Linked DNA regions of Lytechinus pictus. Each later gene encodes a partner of the first gene's protein in a complex. Links are inferred from orthologs where the notes say so. Each region holds a gene or a part of one and is shown on either strand. Other genes may lie near its edges.

Region 1 (10,974 bases):
TTTTTTTTAAACCTTATATTGGACAATATGCTTCCCGCATTGGGTAAATTACTGCCCCAAATAGGTTGGACAAATAATTCCTACCCTCGTGGTGGTAAAAATTTTACCCAATATTTTTTTACAGTGTAATCTGTATAAAAGATTATTTATTAATTGTGTTTAGTCATAATTGTTATTCATATAGTCAATTATTGATTCATTAATCTAGAAAATTTTTGAACACCTTTATTAATTTATTTTGCGGGATAGTTATGACTCTTGCATCTGAATCTCTTTTAGCTGTTCAATCACATGTACTCGGGATTTAAAGGAGAATGAAACCCTTGAAACCAGCTGAATCCATATCAAAGAGAAAAATCAAAGAAACATATTGTTGAAAGTTTGAGGAAGATTGAATGAATAATAAGAAAGTTATGAGCATTTGAATGTCGAGATCGCTAATGCCATGTAGATCTTCCTATTGGCAATGCGATCAAGACCTGTGATGTCACACACGTACAACTCCCTCATTACTTTAGTACTTATTTCACTTATATTCTCACTTTTATAGAGTCTATCACAAGGTGAGGTGTTCTCTTTATATGAGAGGACAAGTACAGAGGTTTCACAACATTATATCATTGATGAATCGTTTGTCATATGATTAGAATGAGCAAAAAGAGATGTTTTGGGGTATATTTTCAGTGTCCAAAAGGGGAGAGTTGTTCATCTGTGACATCATAGATCTTGGTCGCATTGCCAATGGGAGGATCGCCATAGCATTAGTGATCTCGACATTCAAATGCTCATAACTCTTCTATTGCTAGTCCTATTTTACTCAAACTTTTGTTGATCTTATTCTTTGATTTTTCTGCTTTCACAAAAGCTAACTTGCTCCAAGAGTTTCATTCTCCTTTAAGTTTAAAAGCTTATCTCCGTGGTACGCCACCCTTTTCCTTACTATGTTCACACGTTTCCCTCATTATATTCGACCTACGTACTGGCAAGGAGCTTGCATGCTATACTGCATCATACCCCATTCATGCAGAATGTCCCACATTTATATTTGACTCGGCCATGCAGGGACAGAACCAACCTGCTCCTGGTCCCCCCCTGTTTTGAGGGGGGAGGGGCATGTATTATCTATGACGAACATTCCCAGCTTACTTAGTATTCTAATTTGAAGAGATGTACGACCACGACGGATGGACGGAAAATGAATAGTCCATCCCATTGGGGTATGATATGTCAGCTCCTTCACGAGATCGAGTCGCCCCCCCCCCCGGTCGTCCCCACGCACACCCAAACCCCCCCCCCACACACACACACACACACACAAACAGCTGATGAATAAGAGAATAATGGTCTACCAGGCCCCCTGACATCGAGCTTCTTTGTTCCAAGGAAAGTTTAAGAACACTTAGTCCACATAATGTATATTTCTCATTAGCGCACAAACCAATGATCCAAGAAATTTAAGGTGACGTGAGTGGTAAGAGTCCCCAGATAGCAAGCAAAAATGTCGACCTTTTCAAGATAATTTTTTTGCGATAGGTTCTGACATAATTATTAAAAAATCTTACCCCTTTTCCCCTTCTTTCTCTTTCTTTCATTCCCCCCAGCGGTACCCCAATGACACAAACACACACACCCTCACACGGGCGCCTCACATATACCCCACACGCACACAAACACCTCGCACATGATCGGTAAAACTGAAGTATTTTTATTTAACATTTTAATCTAAGATGATAGAATGACAAGTGGCACACGGAAGTTATTTTGGATCAATATCATTTATGTAAATAATTACAAAACACTACATACCTCGACAAACACATACTTGTACAACACTGTTTGATTGATTGAATTACATTTGGCTTTGCAAAAAAATATAAAATGAAGTCTTGCAGTTATAATTATTATCGTATCGAACATATAAATCAATGTGAGACATCCGACGTTACAAATAAGACGCGGCAAATGATGCCATTTCGGTCTCATAAGACAAAAAAAATAGTTTATCAACTATCAATTTTATGTAATAATATCTAATTTTGCAGGATGCTATGTACAGGTAAAAAAAACCCATTACAAATATTATAATAATGATTCGTTTAAAATACATACCGCTTTCAAAACGACAGAACAGATAACTTGAACGACAAAATTATGATATCCAAGTTATTGCTCATATCAGCTCTTACCGTGAGGCGCAAGAAGATACGAAATCCACTCAATGCATTTTTCGAACAGAGCCCTCTCGCGACAAAGGCATTATATTTACTTAAACAATTTTGTTGTGGCCATCGAATTTGGAATTCAAATTTTCGATGCGATTATTATACTGATCTGTAGATATCTTTCCGTACTGATCAGCATTTATAAACCATTTACAGGAAATTGTGAGAATCTTTCGTCATCAATTATAAAGTGCAAACCTATGCAAAATGATAGTTCCAATGACTAATTTTTGTTTGAACAAAGACAAAACAAGACTGACAAAACACAATTATCTTTGAAATACTTTTTTGGGGAATACAAAATGACAGGAAAACAACTTTGGTTCTATGTTCGTTGTATAGTTTGAAGATAATCAATACTTGGTGGATGGCACTAATGGTTATGATAATAATACTCCTCTAATTGTAACAAAGTAAACCATAATTATATAAGTGCTCAATTTATGCATTATACAGTACACGCTTGTGTCCAAACTGAAACACCAATGCAGGTATAAAATTAAATGGGCAAACATCTTTCAGCCAATTTTAATGTATAACATAAATCATATACTTGTTCTTCAAGGAGTGGGACAAATAACTGGAACTGCAGGGCTTCAAGGTCTTGAGGCCATTGCAGTGAAAGTGCATGATTTAAATCACAATAAAAACAATTTAAAACAATTTGGGAAAAATATATAAAACAAACCTGTATTCCCAAAGACTCGAACTCAATATAAAGGTTTAACTTTTTTTTTAATTGGACACTCTTTTCAAAGTGTAGAGTAAGCAGGTGCTCCATTTAAGGCAAGAATGTAATTCAATGACTTTAGAGAATCAGTATCTTATGGGAAAATAGATGAATGAATTAAAAAGAAAATAAGGAGAAATCAAGAGCATTATTTTTTTGTATCTTCAAATTTAAATGACTCATTTGTTCATGTTTATTTCTTAAAGGTTAGTGGCTTATTTCAATACAAAAAGTAACTGATTTGAATCCATCATGGAAATCCATTCATCATGAGATACAGACCTGTAATGACACAGGTCCATTAAACCATTAATGCACTTCAGTCGTCTTCACTCCAGTCTTGTTCAAAGGCTGTTGGTTTATTTATGCATACCAAGTATGTCAGAAACATTGTCCATAGTAAGGCTTTACTGAAAGTTTTTTTGAAGTTTGCTGGCTCCAATTTTGTGATTAGAAGAGTGAAAATTCCCTGTTGGTTTGACTCATCTCCTTAACAAACCTGCAAAAAACACCAGAAAAAAGTTGATGTAAATTATATTATTCATTAGTATTTTGGATTATCTGTTCTTGAAGAAATAACCCAATCTCTGGAAACATAGCCCAATCAGGGTAGCCGTGCTAAAGCCAAAGTAACAGTATGCAGCGCTTAGAAACATTTGTATTAAGTGCTATATAAGTGTTGCATATTATTATCATTATTATTAAAGCATTTATCCATATATGGTTTAGTGAATGAAGTTTGGACAATAACCATCTGTTTATCTTTTGTATATACTCTTGTATAAATTGTTGTAGAGTCTGCTAAATATGAAAATGAGCTATAATTTATCTTAAGTTATAATATTTGTTAACAAAAGCTTATCACTCTCCCCTGTAAGTATCACAAATTGTACTACAAAATAAACACAAATAGAACCAACCTTAATAACCAGACAATATACATGTATGCCTATTGTGGATTCACATTACAAATCAATCCAAAAGAGCAAAACTTTAAATTCATTTTTGTTTGCTTCATCATCAAACAACCCAAAAGGACAACAAAAGTTCTCTTTTATAATTTGATAAATGGCAAGAGTGGGAGCTGGGCAGTACATACTTTGTCATTTCGCTACTGACGCATACATGTCTGGGGACATACGTCCAGGATTCTCTCTGCTTCAGTGGGACCTCTTTCTGATACCAGGAACCGGGAAGTTGAGCTGTTGTCACAGGGTTGCGGTATATATCAATGGGACCTGTAGTAAAGAAAATTTAAGTAACTTAAAAATGATTTTGTAATTATTATGACAAATGCAGGCAGGTATCCAGCATCAAATCCTACAAAGCATTTCATGGGCCCAATTGTCTGGGGGCAATAGTGAATCTATTATGCTTGTGCAAAGTCGATGCTGGATACACTAGTGAAATGTTACATATTCATGATTTACTAATATTAATTGTGTAACCTTTGAATCAAATGTGAATAAATCCTCTAATAGAGAGAGAGAAAAAAAAACCCAAATCAATGGAACCTGTCAGGATATTTGAGAGTAAATTTAATTCTCTTAGCACAATTTTCCATATGCAAACATTGTAAGTTGACCTAGTTCCATAAGCTGAATAATCCCCCGAGTCAAAGCATTTTTCAGACTGGAATATGCAATCATAATTATGTTAATACATCAGGGGCAGCAGACAAGTTTTGAAAGTGGATTGGCCGTGGGGGAGGGGGGCTGAGCCGAAAGTGGGGAGCCTGACAATGCAAAAATAAAAACACAATAAGATGGTCATTTTTACGTTTATGTACATTTTTCTGATTTAAATTTTCTTCAGTCAAACAGATTTCTACGATCCCAAGAGATTCAATTTAGGTCGATTCATCTGTGTTATCAGTAGTGGATCAAGGATAACATAAAATAGAAGGCAAAGAAAGTGGACCCATTACTATCGAAGTTCCAGCTCCTTATAAAGATGCAATTTGTCTCAGAGAATTTCAAGCAGAAAAATGGTTCTCACAACTATTCACAATTTTGGGCAAGAGAATTGAAAATGAAACACTCCCTGCCCTGAGCCTCTTGATGTGAGCCTGTTATAATTCTAAAGGGGATGAATGATATTTCAGGCACCAACAATACATTATATTGCAAGAAAAAAATGATAAGAATCATAATACTATTACGCAAAGTAGTTTGGAATGAAGTTTAGAAGCTTGTTACGAACTTTGTTTTAAATCAAAGTTTGTAACAAGCTTACATGGAAAAGACAACAAAGTAATGCATTAAGATTTTAGATTATGATAATATTAAATATAAATGGTACATGTATGCCTGTGTATGAAAATAATGATCATACAAGGATGATAATGAAGTTAATAATAACAATGATGATTATGATAATAATAATGATATAATAATAATAATAAGAACAATAATAATGTCGATGATAACGGATAATGATTGTGATGATGATAACAAAAGTATATATTTATGATAGTCGAACTCTAAGAACTGCATATATAGTATAGACTATAGATCGCATTCTTTAAATTATTGATGAAGGAATATGCTATTCTGTTTACTTCTGAAGCGCCTTGGGCACTCTACCGAGTGGATTTGGAGCTTTATTACTATTAGGGTAATTGTCATTAAATACTGCAAAAAAAAATCTAAGCAGAAAAGGAGGAATAAAATTAAAGCTCCACTACAACAAGCTCCCAGCTGGAGTGTATTACCTTTTGCACATCGTGTATGTTTGTGCAATCTCTCGGTGTATTTGACATATGATCCATGATGTTCTGGATGATCTACAGGTTCAATAACTTTGTTGTATTTGGTCATACCAATTGGTGGAAGTTTTGCAGTTTCTGGTCTGAATGATACGTACGATCCCTCCGGTACAGAGTGGGCGAGATGGTAGGAATATACCGGGTTTGGCTCTTTCACCTGTGCGCGTATAGGATATTGGTATCCCAATTCGGTGAGATTAAAGAATGACATTATTTCTGCTAGTTCAACACCGACGGTATATCCTGAAGATCACGTGAAGAACAAAAAATATTCCTGAAGAGGAAGTCTTGAAAAGCAACCTCTAAAACGCGAAAACTTTTAATTAGAGACGGGTTTCATCGAGGAAACGTTGATTTTGCATCAATAAGCGAACAGGTGCATTGCGTCTATTTCCGGGATATCCTTGGTTACGTGCATTGTTGTTATCGTCCCCTGATGGACGAGGCTGGCAAATAAGAAAATATACTTTCATATTTTCAACATTTTTGTTATAGTAATAAAATAATTTTTATTACAAAATCTGTTTAAAATTTTTAAATTTTGTTGAAGTCAGATTCTATCATGTATAGGAGTTACATTTTGATAATTTTTGGGGGGTAAGACTTTAGTGAACGAGGTTAATCATTGATTTGCTCATGGAGTCTTCTAGAATCTGCACATGAATTGGGCGTAAGACGAGTGAGAGAAATCCATTTTCATCTAGTAATCCACAAGCGAAACTTCCGTTTTTCACATAAAAATGTCTTCTCTAGGATCTCTCGCATTCGATGAATATGGTCGGCCTTTCATCATCATCAGAGATCAAGATTCAAAGTCGAGGTTAACTGGGATCGAAGCACAGAAGGTTGGTCTAATACTCGGTCCCACTCACTGACATCCGTGTCTATTTTATTTGATGAATTAAACTTTAGGAAAGGATACTTATGATTTGTTTTTAATACTTGAGGCTTTATAAATTATGCCCAGAGCAATAATAGCTTAATTTCTGCCAAATTTTATAAAATTTAACGCCACGGCACTGGCCACGGCAGTCGGTCATGTCACTCACGACTCATCATGTCGCATGAAAATTTGAAATTAAATTGATTAATATTAAATAATAACGAGTTGGACAATTCAGTGGATCCACAATACACTATACAGACAGTACAGTGCTGATCTCCAAACAGTGGAGGAACTGAAATGATAGAGAGAGATTGCGCCACTTATAGTTAGGGGCAGTGCTACAAAATTTATGGTAAAAAAGTACAAACTTGGAGTTGGAAGTTGGACGCTTACTAATATGAATATAGTTCAAGTGATTTTAATACTAATACTAATTTCAGAACAAAGTCGCGGGCAGCTGAGCGAAGATGTCCGATGTTTAAAGGAAACCAAAACCCAAGAAGAGAAGCAATCTTAGTGCGAAGAGTACTAAAATGAGAGGAACAATTTAAACAAAGTTTCATCAAAATCGGCCAATATGGGAGACTGTCTCCCATGAGATTGAGAGATTATCTCCAATAAAATATCACTATCAGAGACTTTTGTAAAGAATTTGGGTATCCAATTTCAAAGACAGTCTCCAGTTTGGGAGACCAATTTCCTTTACATTTGCTGCAAAAGGAATAAGCAGATTCCTCATGAAAAATTACCCCTGGCTTTGGCTTTTCACCGTCTACTTTAAAAATTCACCGTCTACTTTTGTTTTGATAAGGATTTTTACTGTCATCCACACACAAAAGTAACAAATGGGCTTCTGACCTGAGTGAGACAGAATTTTGGGTGGAAAAAATATGTTTTTGTTGATGCTTTTGTTGGAGTTTCTTTTGTCCTTTTGCAAAGCAAATTGAAGTCTCCAATAGGCAATATGGGAGATTGTCTCCCATATTGGAGAGTCTCCCATATTGGCCGTGCGCATCTACTGATGAAATAAGCAAGTGATGGACGTTAAAAAAAATTGTACTTTCTATGGGGATCCTCAAATTGGCAAAAGTGCTTCAAAATGGCTGATTTTGTGGACAACTCTCCATTTGTTTTTTACACAAATTTTCAGATTTTCCCTCATCTTTTCAATTGCATCTTGCCTCCTGAGCACAACATATGTCATGGGAAAATATAATTCACATCACATGTATGTCAAGGTCAGGAGGAGATAATGTGAAATTTGTAAAATAAAGGGGGAATCTGAAAATTACTCAAATGAGGAAAAAAGAGAAAAAAATCCAGGGAATTTTGATTTTTGATCTGCCAGTGGGAAGTGGTTTTCTGAGACCTTGTATACTTGCATTTTTTTCCTTACTTTGTGCATTTGATACTAAGTAAAAAGTGCCAAATACTTAAAGAGTAAGTAACCTTGCATTAAACCTTGCATTAGCAAACAATAACTAGTTACTCTCCAAAGCTTTTTGCACTTACAGGTCTATCAATCGCTCCGAGCACTCAGCAATGACTGACTTCACAAGAAAAGAAGAGCTGGAAAACCATTTTCCACTAGCAGATGGTTACTGGATTTTCTTTGCAAAGTGCTAAACCAAAAGTAAAAACGTAAGAAAAAGATGCTCCATGTTAACGCCCCATCTTGGCCTTTGTCATGGAAAGCAGATGCGTAATCATGTACTGTTCACTAAAAACAAGTCACACATGTTATTTTTAAAAAAGGAGTGTTCTCTGGGAATTATAATATGCAGCAAGGCATTTTTTTTAGCTGTAAATTTCTGGTATTTATCATTGAAAGGCTGATATTTTTTAAGGTTTTGACATGGAGATCAACATGTTTTTTTTTTCTCTTCTTTCAACAGTCTCATATTCTTGCTGCAAAGACAGTTGCAAACACATTACGAACTTCATTAGGCCCAAATGGTAAGTCTTTGTATGTATGAATTTGTTAGTGTTCTTGCCAGCAATAAAAATGTGATTACTTCAGTAACAACATCTTACATCTATAAAGTAAAAAAAACAAACTAACTTTTAGGAAAAAAAATCACTTTCACTGAGACACTTCTAAAATCCACCCTCAAGTGAAGTATTTACAGCAGCCATTCTCAATTACTTTTTTTGAAGCGCCACATTTCTTGTTAAGAATCTGTAATGCTCCACTTAGTCCACTATCCCCCGCACTATCCATTACGCAAACCAGCAATGTATCAGCGGAGGGGGTCCAGAGGCCCCTGGTGGGGGTCGAGGGGGCAGAGCCCCCAGAAGTTTTTGAATATGAGGCCTTTTAAATTGCCAACAAATGCCAACAAACTACACAATATGAATATTAAAAGAAAAATTACCAGTGACTTTTTCACAACATACCAATGATACCACTAGTTCAAACTGTTTTGCACCAGACCTATTGGCTGAAGAAAGTGGCGTAATGAGTAAAAAAAAAATGAGGGGGCAAGATATGGCAGCTGAAGCAAAAATATTGAACTTTTCAATACAAAAATCTATATTTTGACATAATATTAAGAAAATAATACAATGTTCCACTCTTTCCCTTTCCTTTTCTTTCCTATTTTCCTTTTTTTTCTTGGCCGTGAAACACTTGGGGGGCCCCCAATCCCCACCCCCATCTGTACGCCAGTGGCTGAAGTTACGTTCCCCGATTTTGCAAGGGCTGAAAATTAGGCGTTGCTCTGCACTAACGCCCCAAACTGCCCCTCTCGATAGATCTCTCTCTCTACAACTCGTGTTAAGCAAGAGTGCATGCAGGCAATCACAGCAGGCAGTACATCTGACCATACATGTATTTCACTTTTACAACTTCGGATTTTAATCGGCTCCGGAAATAAAGTTTCTGCTTGTTATGTCCCAAATTCATAATCTTTTATGATCCAGATGTACTTTGAATATCATATTATTTGATGTTTAACTCTTAACCAAAACGAATACTCTGGAAATGGAAAATTTCTCGCCGTTGAAAGAGAAATCCTACAAACAGGGTTTTCAAATCACTTGTGTGGAACATTAACTTTGTACAGCATAGAATAAATAAAAAGGAGAACATGCACCATCGACCCTCCATAATAGGGGTTATCGAGTGCTAAATTGGACAAAATTTGAGGAAATCAATTAGCAATTAAGTGTCAAGTAAAGAGTTTTTGTTTTCTCTTTGTATTAAAATGATCACCAAATCCTTATTTCCAGGTTACTGGGAGATACATTTTTTCTCACAAATTTTTCCTTATTTTTACGTTCTTTTTTTTTTATACCTGCTCCCAAGCGCCACTCCGCAAGGCTCTGATTTACAGCCAAGGTGAAAAATACATGAAGAAAGCTCACTTGTGCTGGATATGTTCCAATGTACCTTTTCTCAATCGATCAAACAGATGTCAAATGATGAAATAATCTGTCAGACTCGTGTTAAACATGTTGACAAGCTTTCTTTTTTGTCTACTTGCACGCAGGCTTGGATAAAATGCTTGTCAGCCCCGATGGTGACGTAACAGTTACTAATGATGGTGCCACCATTTTGGACAAGATGGATGTAGACCATCAAATAGCCAAGCTCATGGTTCAACTCGCAAAGTCACAAGATGATGAGATTGGTGACGGTACCACAGGTGTCGTCGGTAAGTACCGTCATTCAGTATATTTTTATGAAGCTCAAGGTGGTTAGTTTTGCAGACTGTGCAAAACCAAGGGTTGTTGAAACACTCTTTAGTGAGCTAAATTTCCTGACCACTATAGCTGAAAAAGAATTATGTGGTCAAGCTTCTTCGATATTTGTGGATTATCTCATGTAGATTCAACTTGTGATAAATTCGTCTCAAGGACACCTGGTTGAAAAAAGGTCAATCCACACAAGAAAAATGTTGATTTGAATATCAGAGAAAAATTAAACAAGCATGTTGAACTCTAAAAATTTCATCGAAATCGAATGTAATACAAGGAAGTTAGATTTTTTTTTCACTTAATTTTTGCAAAATGGTTATATGCACAAGTCCGTGATATTTAAATGAGAGAGTCACTTATGTCCCTCACTATTTATTTTGTTTTTCTTCATATGAATCTTACAATAGTTAGAATTTTTTCAGAGTTACAAAAAGGACCAACTTGATTGGACCACAAAATTTGAAAATGATGGTAATTCCACATGTTCGGGGAGGAATAATTTTTTTCATAAATGACAATGAGGAGAAAATGAATTTATTGCATATAGTGAGTGGGTGATGTCATCATTCCGTTCATTTGCATACCGACCAGCATGTGATCATATATAAGTTTTGTCAAATTAAGCGAACTTTGAAATGTCATATCTTTCTAATTTTACATCCAATCTTGA
Region 2 (11,383 bases), on another chromosome or scaffold:
AAGGACAAAAGAAACAACACCAACAAAAGCATGATTTTTTCCACCCAAAATTTTGTCTCACAGGTCAGAAGCCCATTTGTTTTGTGTGTGATTGACAACAAAAATCCTTATCAAAACAAAAGTAGGCGGTGAATTTTTAAAGTAGATGGTGAAAAGGGGTAATTTTTCATGAGGAATCTGCTTATCACATTTTTATTTGCCGCCAAGGTAATCCTTTTGCAGCAAATGTAAACAAAGGAAATTGGTCTCCAAAACTGGAGACTGTCTCTGAAATTGGATACCCAAATTCTTTACAAAAGTCTCTGATATTGGAGATAATCTCCCACATTGGAGACAGTCTCCAATATTGGCCGTGCGCCTCTACTGTAAGTCACCTCTCTAATCTATATGTGTGTGCACTCGTGTATGATTGATGCCTGGGGCTGGGGTGACCATAATTTGCGCACATTTTAAAAATCATCATGAAGTTGATTTTCAATCAAGAAATTCTCACAGTTCACACAAAATTAATCAAAAAAATCATAAATACCAGATGGAAGGCAAGATCCCAAAGTCAAATTCGCTTGAGGGAATTTCAAAGTAGGTCAAGGGTTTCGCTGGTATCGCAATCTCAAAATTCCATGACAATCGACTATTCCTCGTTAGGCTGAAAAAATATGAAAAAGTGTAACCTTAATTTGCGCACGATGGTTTTGCAAAGATTTAGAAAAGAAATCGAACAGAAAAAGGTATGGCAAGTTCCCACCAATCTGCGCAGTCCCCCTTGTCTGCGCACACGCGTATCTGCGTGATTCTAGTAAAAGAAGATATGCAACAAGCACAAACTTTACACATGCAATACATAGACAGACATTCATTTAAAAATCCGAATCAAAATGGTGGAAAATAATTAATTTGGGGCATTCCATGTGACGGCCTCAAAATGCAGCCTTTTTTAATCAAAATCCCCGAATCGTGTGCAAAGTGAATGGGTGCGCAGACATGGGGTACCATTTTTTTTTTCAATCTGAAAACGAGTGCCCGAGGTTTTTTCCAAGAAAATGCTATATTTCTTTCAAATTTGTATGAGATATTTGGTACACTTTGGTACACAAATAAAAAGAAATTCATGTTAAATCTTAACTCAAATTGTTAGGTGCGCAGACTTGGGGACCACCATCATAAGATAATTGTATGGAAGTTGAAATGCCATAAATTCGGTTGGTATCACATCTTACTTCTTTGGAGACCTCTGCTTGCAAACTGCCGATTTCTTGATGCTTATGGAGAAGTTCGGATTTTCTCGGAGCAGACGTAAAAGGTAACAAAGTTTGCCAATGTTCTGCCAATATTTTCACAAACTGAGAACCTACCTTCATACTAGGTAATTTTTGGTCGCTTTTTCTGTTAGTGATATCAGTTTTTCAAGGTTTTCATTATATATTGAGCATCGAGCAGGAAAAAATAATTGTTTTTTTTTCGGGGGCTCCATTTTCAATTTTTGTAAAATTTCGGGGGCTCCATTTCTACCTTTCGGGCGCTCTTTTCAAATGCTACTTTTTTGTATTTTGAGGAATACCTGTTCACTTATTAATAGGAGTGGGCTATACATGGGTCAAAAATACTTTTTTTGTAATTTCAATATGACAACAGTTTTTTTTTATTCCTTGTAATGTATCTCAACATGAAATGACAATATTTTTTGTCTCGGGTCCGAGAAAAAAGTGTGCCGGGCCAAAATCCAAAATGGCCGCCAAAACCCCCCAAAATCACAGTTTTGGCCACAACTATTTTATTTGGTGGTCAATTTCTCTGGTTTTGGTGTCTATTCATATGTTTTTGGGGGCAGGCAATTTGTTTTTCCTAGAATTAGTACTTTTAAACCATTATTTGTAGAGTTAAAAGGTAATTTTACCTAAATTTTCCCATTTTTGTAACCTTTTTTCAGCCAAAAAGTAGGTTTTATCATCCTGGGGTTCTGGGATATTAGATGGTATGAGGTCAACAATAGCAAGCAGCTTCATATTGCTATATTGCTTTTATTCCTCCACTTTGGGTTTTACGGATATTTGTGAAATATATCTTATTAAATAAAAAAATGTCAATTATCCATTGGGGCTGTACAGTATACAATCTACTGTACATACATACTGCACTGCATAAATGCATTGGCCACCATGACAGATAACAAGGCTTGTATAAACTATAGTGTCATAGAAATGAGCTCTCAGGTTTAGAATGAGATGCCTCAGAAATTGAAGATATGTTTTGTGTCAGAAATTGAGGACATGTTTTGTCAAATATGCTAATTCAGGGCCGGGGGCGGAGAGAGGTAATTTACACTGAACATTGCTATTCTGGGCCCCGTTGCATAAAAATTTACCATTATGTTAACTTAACTTAATGGTAACTTGCATGCAATCCTTGATTCTGATTGGCTGTTGATCAGCGTTACCATGATACTAGTAGTTACCTGACCCCATAAACATAGGCCAGTTAGACACCAGAACCAGGTTTAAAAAAAAGCCTCCAAATGAAGAAGATATGGCTAAAAATGTGATGTACATGTACGTATATATATATACATGTATGTGATATTTACATGTAAGTGTAATTTACGTTGCTGGTTTCACCATGTACATCAGCTGACAAGGAATCAAATTCACAATCTAATTCTAAACCTTTGAAGCTCATTTCTATGACACTATAGTTTATATACAGGCCTTGACATATGCCATGGTGGTCAATGCATGGATATATGCAGTGTAGTATGTACAGTGCATTGTACATGTACACCGTATAGCCCCTATGGATAAATGACATTTTCTTTTATTTGATAAGATATATTTCACAAATATCCGTAAAACCCAAAGTGGAGGAATAAAAGCAATATATAGCTATATGAAGCTGCTTGCTATTGTTGACCTCGTACCATCTAATATACCATAACCCCAGGATGATAAAACCTACTTTTTGGCTGAAAAAAAGGCTACAAAAATGGGAAAATTTAGGTATAATTACCTTTTAACTCTACAAATAATGGTTTAAAAGTACTAATTATAGGAAAAACAAATTGCCTGCCCCCAAAACATATGAATAGACACCAAAACCAGAGAAATTGACCACCAAATAAAAAAGTTGTGGCCAAAACTGTGATTTTGGGGGGTTTTGGCGGCCATTTTGGATTTTGGCCCGGCACACTTTTTTCTCGGACCCGAGACAAAAAATATTGTCATTTCATGTTGAGATAAGGTAAAAGGAACACAAAAAAACTGTTCCCACAGTAAAACCAAAAATCACCCATTTATAGCCCACTCCTATTATTAATGAATTATTACTTATTTAATATTGTATGATTTTTTAAGTCAACTGTGAGTTGAACTTGGATATAAATGAATTCAATATCTAATTTCTACTCCATCTATTCCAGTACAATAACCTGTACTTGGCCATGTTATAAAGTCCCACATACCCTAACTTTTCCTGAAGTTCTTTGAAAACGCAGATCTCCACGAAAATTGCATTTCTCTATGGGGGAGTCTAAATTTGGTGAGAATGAACTCATTAATAACTTAAATATACATGACAATGACGAAATCATCAAACTTTATTGGCAGTTTTTAATAATATACCCGAAATGTAAACTCTGTCTGAAACAGAGATTCACCATCATTGAGGCCTTTACTGAGCGAATTGTCCCCCAGAGCTCAGGCAGAGAGACAGAGCTCAGACTGGCTAGCTAGTACACGCGCCAATGCCGGCGTGCATGAGCCTCCCGCCGGCCTTGTAAAATAGATGGAGCTTTGTTTGATGATTTATTGTCTGATATTTACCTCATCCCTAGAAAAATAAAACAAATGATTTTTAAGTAATAATCAAATAAGGTAAGTTATTTTGGATGTTAATAGGCCGTTTTGAAAAGCAAAGCCGAATGACAACTCGTCAATGCGAGGTTAGTAGACTCTGGGATTTATTTCCTGTGTAATTCGAATTATTTTATCACAGAATTGTGATATATGTAGGGGAAAATGTGCATTAGAAATTGCACATGGTGGCAGTCATAATGGACCCCTATACATGCAACCGTTTCCCGACCGTTACGTTTATTTTTTTTTTCATACCATGTGTATGGAAAAACGTGGTACAGAAAAAAAGACGCAACTTTGGAATTTGAAACTGTGCTCCTCGTTACTTTCAAGGCTTGTTCATGATTTTGAGTATGGTTTTTTGATTATTTTTAAATGGTAAGCGGAGCTCGAGCATATGGCGCTCGTGGGCCGCTGAGTTGTTATCGCTCGGCAATAATTTCGGGGTGACATTAAGATTTTATTTGGCCCCGAAAGCATGATTTTGGGTGATTTCGAGGGCGACTTTAGGCATTTCCGGGGCGAATTCGCCCGCCCCCCCCCCCCCCCCCCCTCCGTGTATTTTTTTCGCTGATATTGAGATATTCGACCGTGCAAATTTAGGTAACGCGCGAATTAAGGTCACACCACCATACAAAGTCAATGGGAGTTGAAAGAAGTCACCAGCGCTGACGAAATAAACGGCAGTGAATGGACTGGTGACTTAAACCAGGATTATGCCAAACAAATGAGAAAAATATGAAAAGACGGGGAAAAATTGCCGCAATGTTTACGTCACCATCTTGTTCTCTTTTGTTTTCGCCAAGCTACAAGACGCATATCAATTATTTGCGTCTTGTATCTTGGCGGAAAACAAAAGAGAAAGCTTAGCTTTAGTGAGTGCACCATAGAAACATTAAATTATGAACATATATTAAAAGAAAACAAACATTTGAGAATCGGGTAATCCGTAAAGAACGCTATTACAGTATGATAATCCATTTTATTGGTAAAAACAAGCATGAACAATATTTTTCATGCTGTCCTGGCAAGGCTCCACATTAACTTTTTTTGGTGGTGGCCCGTTCGGGCCACCAAAACCTTCATATAATATTTTTTGGTGGCCTGATATGACAGTTTGGTGGCCCGAAAAAAAAAAACATTAAAAATGAATAAAAGACATTTCTAAAATATTAATTCTGCATCCAGCACGACCACCAAGTTACTTTCACTTTGTACATCTTGTTTTTAAACCTTGCTACTGTTATTATATTTTGCAAATTGATTTGTGGTAAAGTTCTTTCATTGTAAATATGAAATGATTTAAAGGTAATAAATGAATTGTATTATTCCCAGGTTGTGAGGACTTTTTTCTTTGATCTACATACATGTATAGACAATTAGACATACACTCATAATGGTAACTTGATACAAATTAACAGTTCCTTTCTTCCTCTTTGAATTCCAAAACCTAAAGTATGCCCCCAAAGTGTGTGTATTTGTGTGTAAATCTTAGAAAAAGTCGCATGACGAACTGGCTTGCAAATTGAACTGTAGAAAGTTGATAAATGCGTGAAAAATTGCGCTACTTTAAAGATTATTGGTTGCCCGATTCGGGCCACCAAAACTTAGCATTTATCAATTATGGTTGCCTGAGGTAAATTTTTGGTGGCCCTGGGCCACTGCTAATGTCGAGCCTTGGTCCTGGTAACAAAATACAAATGTCTCAAATTATAGGTCATGAAATAAGCAGATCTTTAAATATTCTTGATTCTTTTTTTAATTGAGTACTCGAAGAATGCACCAAGTTTTCTGGCAATATCGGATGGAGTTCTGACCGAGTCACCAACAATGAACTGTGGCCCCCAAATTTCAAAACCTGACATGGTATACCAATGACCAACAATTATTCAGTTTTCTTGTCATTCAGCATTAAATATTTTTGGAGCATCCATATTTATGCCACTTATTCTTCTTATGAGCACCATTTTGTGGCACATTTGGAGAAAAGGATTAAATACAATTGCGTGTTGTCTTCGTAGCAGTGGCAATTGATACTTGGAAAGTCCTTTATCAAAAATTAAGTCTGCTTACATTAATACATTATATTAGTTGTTTCCACATATTTGAGATTCACCAAAAGGAAGCTTGCTTGATCTTCCCTTTGACTTCCTGTTGGTCTTTTCTTTCTACTTGTAGGTACTGCAAAACTTGATGATATAATAAGGCAGTTGTGATCAACGAAAAATCATGAATAAAGGTCCTTGTCATCCTGATCAGTAAGAGTGATATTGAAGGCTTGAACTAATTGGAAGAGACAAGAGAGTAAAAAGGAACTCTATAGAATGCAGTCAAATGAGGATGCAGCCTCGAGTAGGAAATCTGCCGCAGCAGCCCTGACCGAAAGACACCGCGGAGAATGGATGGGCGCAGGCGACCCTGAGAGTGCCTCTGTCTTCCACCATATTCGAAGCAGAACAATCGGACATGCGAAGCACCGGAGGAAGGTTATCTGTAACCTGACCACCCGCAGACTTCCCCACGTGCTCTCGGAGCGGGAGATTCCAGTTGGCGAAATCAATAAGATCTTTGCTTCGGAATGGATTTCAGATCATCAAGTAGTCATTGGAACCAAGTGCAATAGAGTGAGTGACATCCCTCTGTATTCCCTGTACGCACAATGTGATCATCCCAATCAGGTCTTTTACATATTCCACTATCTAAAAAATCCTGGGGTTATCAAGCCTTTGCTCATGCCAGACCAGCCCTGTGGAATTCACTAGCACAGGAGCTTAAGAACTCAAATATAAATTTTCTGCATATATTGAAGAATGTCCAATGCCGATGCTCACTTATCATATTGCGCCAAATTGATGCCTGTTGCCTGGTTTTCCACGCTATTTCATTCATGAGTCAACTGTTTTGAATTAATGAGTCCACTCTTCAAAACAGTAGACTCATGAATAAAATATCATGCTCAGTGACTGGAACAGGCATCAATTTAGTAAACAGTGACAAAAGTGTGCATCAGCATGGGACATTGTTTATTATACGGGGGGAATTAAGCATAATTTATGAAAGAAATCTGCCTTAATAAAATAAGGCTCCACACTTACTTTTTTTCTCGGTGGCCCGACCAATTTCATATTTTTGGTAGCCTGCAAAGCAAATTTTGTGGCCCTAAGACAATAGAAAACATTACAATTTATCAAAACTTTGGTAGCTATATGAAGCTGCTTGCTATTGTTGACCTCGTACCATCTAATATCCCAGAACCCCAGGATGATAAAACCTACTTTTTGGCTGAAAAAAGGCTACAAAAATGGGTAAATTTAGGTATAATTACCTTTTAACTCTACAAATAATGGTTTAAAAGTACTAATTATAGGAAAAACAAATTGCCTGCCCCCTAAAACATATGAATAGACACCAAAACCAGAGAAATTGACCACCAAATAAAAATGTTGTGGCCAAAACTGTGATTTTGGGGGGTTTTGGCGGCCATTTTGGATTTTGGCCCGGCACACTTTTTCTCGGACCCGAGACAAAAAATATTGTCATTTCATGTTGAGATACATTACAAGGAATGAAAAAAAACTGTTGTCATATTGAAATTACCCCGTATAGCCCACTCCTATTATCATGAGAGGCTTTTAGGTATACCACTTTTTCCCCAAAACACATTTACATTGCAAGATGAGACAGGCTGCGAGTGATGATTGAAAAACTAAAGAAATATTAAACTGAGTGATCTATCCCAAGTCTAGAGAAGAATAAGAATTAATCAGTAGTTCTTTACAAGGTTTTACTCACTATGAAAGAGAAACAGATTTAAATGCACTGGTTATACACTGCTCGATCAATCTCTCAGGATTTAATGCAAATTAGTGATGCAAATGAATGAGGTCACAATAAGGGTGCAACATGTACATGCGTCTTGTAAAAACTTTTTCCTTTGCTAGTTGATGGCGTTAGACTTGAACCTCAACCACCAAGTATCCATCCCGATGCTCCGTAGTCTCCCAAGCAAAAAGCCAGAGACATTACCAATGAACAACAGTGGTATCCACAGCATATCCATCAACCCCAGCGGTACCCTCCTAGCGACAGGGGCAGACAACCCAAACAACATTGGTGTATACCAGTTACCCACGTTTGATCCCGTCTGCGTAGGGCAGGTAAGTCACAAATTTTACAGTTTTTGTCTCACCTGCATAGCAGAGTGAGACGCTTTTCCGACGGCGGAGGCGGCGTCAACACCAAATCTTAACCCAAGGTTAAGTTTTTGAAATGACAGCATAACTTAGAAAGTATATGGACCTAGTTCATGAAACTTGGCCAAAAGGTTAATCAAGTATTACTGAACATCCTGCCTGAGTTTCAGGTCACATAACCAAGGTCAAAGGTCATTTAGGGTCAATGAACTTTGGCCAAATTGGGGGTATCTGTTGAATTACCATCATAACTTTGAATGTTTATGAATCTGATTCATGAAACTTGAACATAAGAGTAATCAAGTATCGCTGAACATCCTGTGCAAGTTTCAGGTCACATGATTAAGGTCAAAGGTCATTTAAGGTCAATGAACTTTGGCCAAGTTGGGGGTATTTGTTGAATTACCATCATTACTTTGAAAGTTTATTGGTCTAGTTCATAAAACTTAGACATAAGAGTAATCAAGTATCATTGAACATCCTGTGCGCATTTCAGGTCACATGACCAAGGTCAAAGGTCAATGAACTTTGGCCATAATGGGGGTATCTGTTGAATTACCATCATAACTTTGAAAGGTTATGGATCTGATTCATGAAACTTGGACATAAGAGTAATCAAGTATCACTGAACATCCTGTGCAAGTTTCGTGTCACATGATCAAGGTCAAAGGTCATGTAAGGTCATTGAACTTTGGCCATTTTAGAGGTAATTATTAGATTGCTGTCATTACTTTCAAATAAAATGTGGATATAGGGGTAATCAAGTTTCACTGACAAGTTTTAGGTCACATGATCAAGGTCAAATGTCAATGAACGTAGTATTGTTTCATTATATGAATGGTGTTTTTTGTGAATAATTATTTGATAGTAGTTTTCAAAGTCAGCTCTGCTGCTATATTGAATCGCATGATGCAGGTGAGACGGCCAGAGGCATTCCACTTGTTTTAAATATTTTTGGCGCATCAGTGCACCTTTGTTCAATAGCTGTTCATTCAGATATGCTGCGACAAAATCAGCATCATTTTTTTGTCCAAGTCAATGAGATACCAGGCGTTCAGAAGTCAGTTCTGTATAATCTTGATGTGGAGACCATACATACATGTACATGTAGATTGACTACAGTATGCTGCAATTGTTGTTCATGTAGATTGTGCATTTGCAGTGGTATTGATGTTGCAAGTTCAGCCTTCATAAGCCTTTCTTTCAACAAACTCAGGGGGAGTCCGGGCTGATTTGAAGTTTTGAACCATATCAAGATATCAACCAAAACATCTGCATCGAGGAATAAATTTCCTGTTATCACATCGCAATTGGCTCCCCATTTTATTTATTTATTTCTATTTTTTACTGCAACACTACAAAGTTTTAAATTTTTACATAGGATTGTACAGAGCATACCTGTAGTTGCAAATTTGTATCTAACAATCAGAAATGTTAAATCAAATTTGAGAAGTGACATTATTCCCTGTGCAAGTGTGCATGTTGTTACTACCCCAAATGTTAATTGGTAGTAATTTATTCTACCTTTTTTTCTTCTTCAGAATTGCCACAAGGACTGGATGTTCTCAGTTGTATGGTTAGATGACCAATACTTAGTTGCAGGTAAGTGCATGGGGCATCTTTGTGAATCTTCTTTGAAGCATTTGTAGAGAAAGTGATTTTCCAATTACAAAAGTGTCTTTTCCCGTTCCTGGAAAGCTGTAATTCTGTTTCAAACTTGATCTAAAATAAAACTTCCTTTTTGACATAGTATTGTAAATGTGCACCGTAAAAACAGAAATTCTGTTTTGAAAAGGTAAATTGAGTAAATTTGCTCATGCAAAGTAAAGAACAAAAAAAAATTATGTTTTGGTTTACAGGTAATATGAAAATAGCTGTCCCTGTATCGTAGGTCTTATACAGATGAATGGTCTTATGCGAATGTAAATTTTTTTTTATTATCATTATGGAGTATGTTTGATTGCGAATGAAAGGTATTTACATGTACAGTACATATAAACTGCCGAGTGTTCCATAAAGCTGTTTCTAAGCTATACGCTACTTTACAAATGACTGAAGATCTGGGTCCTTTTTCATAAAGACTTGTTATAATAATAAATGCACAGCATCTATAACAGGTTTCCTATCAGCCAAAGAAATTAAATGATATAAGTAGCTTTAAATTGTTACTGCTAAGTTGATATTATAACCTGTTTTATGAAATGGGTCCCAGCTCTTGTGCTTTTTTATATGCCCCAAATTTATTTTGTTTTTTTTATAATGTAGTGGGTGTGAATTACCTTTAGATAGACCTTTCATTCAAATGCTATTATTGTAATCTAGATCAGATTTCAACTGATGAATAAAATGATTTAGAATCTGATCTTGCAGCAAAGAACAAGTCATTCTGTGTAGGTGCTTTGATTATATTTTGATACTATTGTCACATCGTGCAGTCGTCATTACGTTTTTTTTCTATCAATTTGAATTGTCGATAACCAGGTTCAAGAGATTCGCAGCTTTCTATCTGGTCTGTCAGTCAAGAACTGTGTGACCGGGTCCAAGACACCAACGAAACAGCCACAGTGCCATCCTACGAATCCATCTTCCCCATTGGGTTACGGTCTAGTGAGAGAAATGAGAAAGTAAGGGCCTTGGAATACAGCCCGCAAACGAAGGTGAGCATACGGTGTCCCTTCCTTAATCCTTGTGGAACTTCATGGGTGCAGAAAAAATTACAGTGGGCACGGGGTGATATTGTCCCAAAACGCCCAAAAGAGGCTTGGGAAATTTTTTTTAAATGCCCAGAAAATCCCCATTCACTGCAATGTTAAAGGGATGGTCTGGGCTGAAAATATTTATATCTAAATTAATAGAGTAGAATTCAGAGAGCAAAATGCTGAAAATTTCATCAAAATCGGATAACAAATAACGAAGTTATTGAATTTTAAAGTTTATCAATATTTTGTGAAAACAGTTATATGCACATCGTCATGAATATTCATTAGGTGGGCTGATGATGTCACATCCCCACTTTCCTTTTTCTTATGTTATTACATGAAATTAGAAATGTTTAATTTTTCATTAGTATGTGTAAATAATGTGTCTCCATTATGATGAAATAAGTTGGGGCAATAAATATCTAATGTCAATCCAATTGTCTTAGTTCTTGGTAGAAAATTTTTGAATAAACCTAATTTTATATAATAAAATACAAAAGAACAAGTGGGGATATGACATCATCAGCCCACCTAATGACTATCCATAAAGACATGCCTGGAACTGTTTCACCGGAATAATGCAAATCTTTAAAATTCAATAACTTTGTTTTTTGTCATCCGATTTTGATCAAATTTTCAGCATTTT

What was found.
Region 2: the proteins of T-complex protein 1 subunit epsilon-like (region 1) and DDB1- and CUL4-associated factor 12-like are in contact, whole or in part, in a cryo-EM structure (PDB 8AJM), measured with the Homo sapiens proteins. The link is inferred for Lytechinus pictus from reciprocal best matches to the Homo sapiens genes CCT5 and DCAF12. Residues at the interface, in NP_036205.1 of Homo sapiens: Gly537, Glu538, Ser539, Glu540, Glu541; in NP_056212.1 of Homo sapiens: Lys91, Phe93, Lys108, His144, Trp186, Phe188, Arg203, Lys254, Arg256, Glu298, Val300, Arg344, Phe411, Tyr422, Leu440, Pro441, Ser442, Gly443.

Annotation. Positions count from the first base shown.
Region 1 is NC_087247.1:6,976,890-6,987,863, reverse strand, and holds the start of T-complex protein 1 subunit epsilon-like, read left to right. Parts: upstream 1-6,129; 5' UTR 6,130-6,459; coding exon 6,460-6,564; intron 6,565-8,500; coding exon 8,501-8,561; intron 8,562-10,096; coding exon 10,097-10,261; intron 10,262-10,974. Other genes in the region: sperm microtubule inner protein 11-like, read right to left, coding at 3,403-3,451, 4,052-4,190, 5,666-5,930. UniProt on the Homo sapiens protein: Component of the chaperonin-containing T-complex (TRiC), a molecular chaperone complex that assists the folding of actin, tubulin and other proteins upon ATP hydrolysis.
Region 2 is NC_087249.1:18,254,840-18,266,222, forward strand, and holds the start of DDB1- and CUL4-associated factor 12-like, read left to right. Parts: upstream 1-6,022; 5' UTR 6,023-6,169; coding exon 6,170-6,469; intron 6,470-7,786; coding exon 7,787-8,002; intron 8,003-9,579; coding exon 9,580-9,640; intron 9,641-10,519; coding exon 10,520-10,695; intron 10,696-11,383. UniProt on the Homo sapiens protein: Substrate-recognition component of a DCX (DDB1-CUL4-X-box) E3 ubiquitin-protein ligase complex of the DesCEND (destruction via C-end degrons) pathway, which recognizes a C-degron located at the extreme C terminus of target proteins, leading to their ubiquitination and degradation.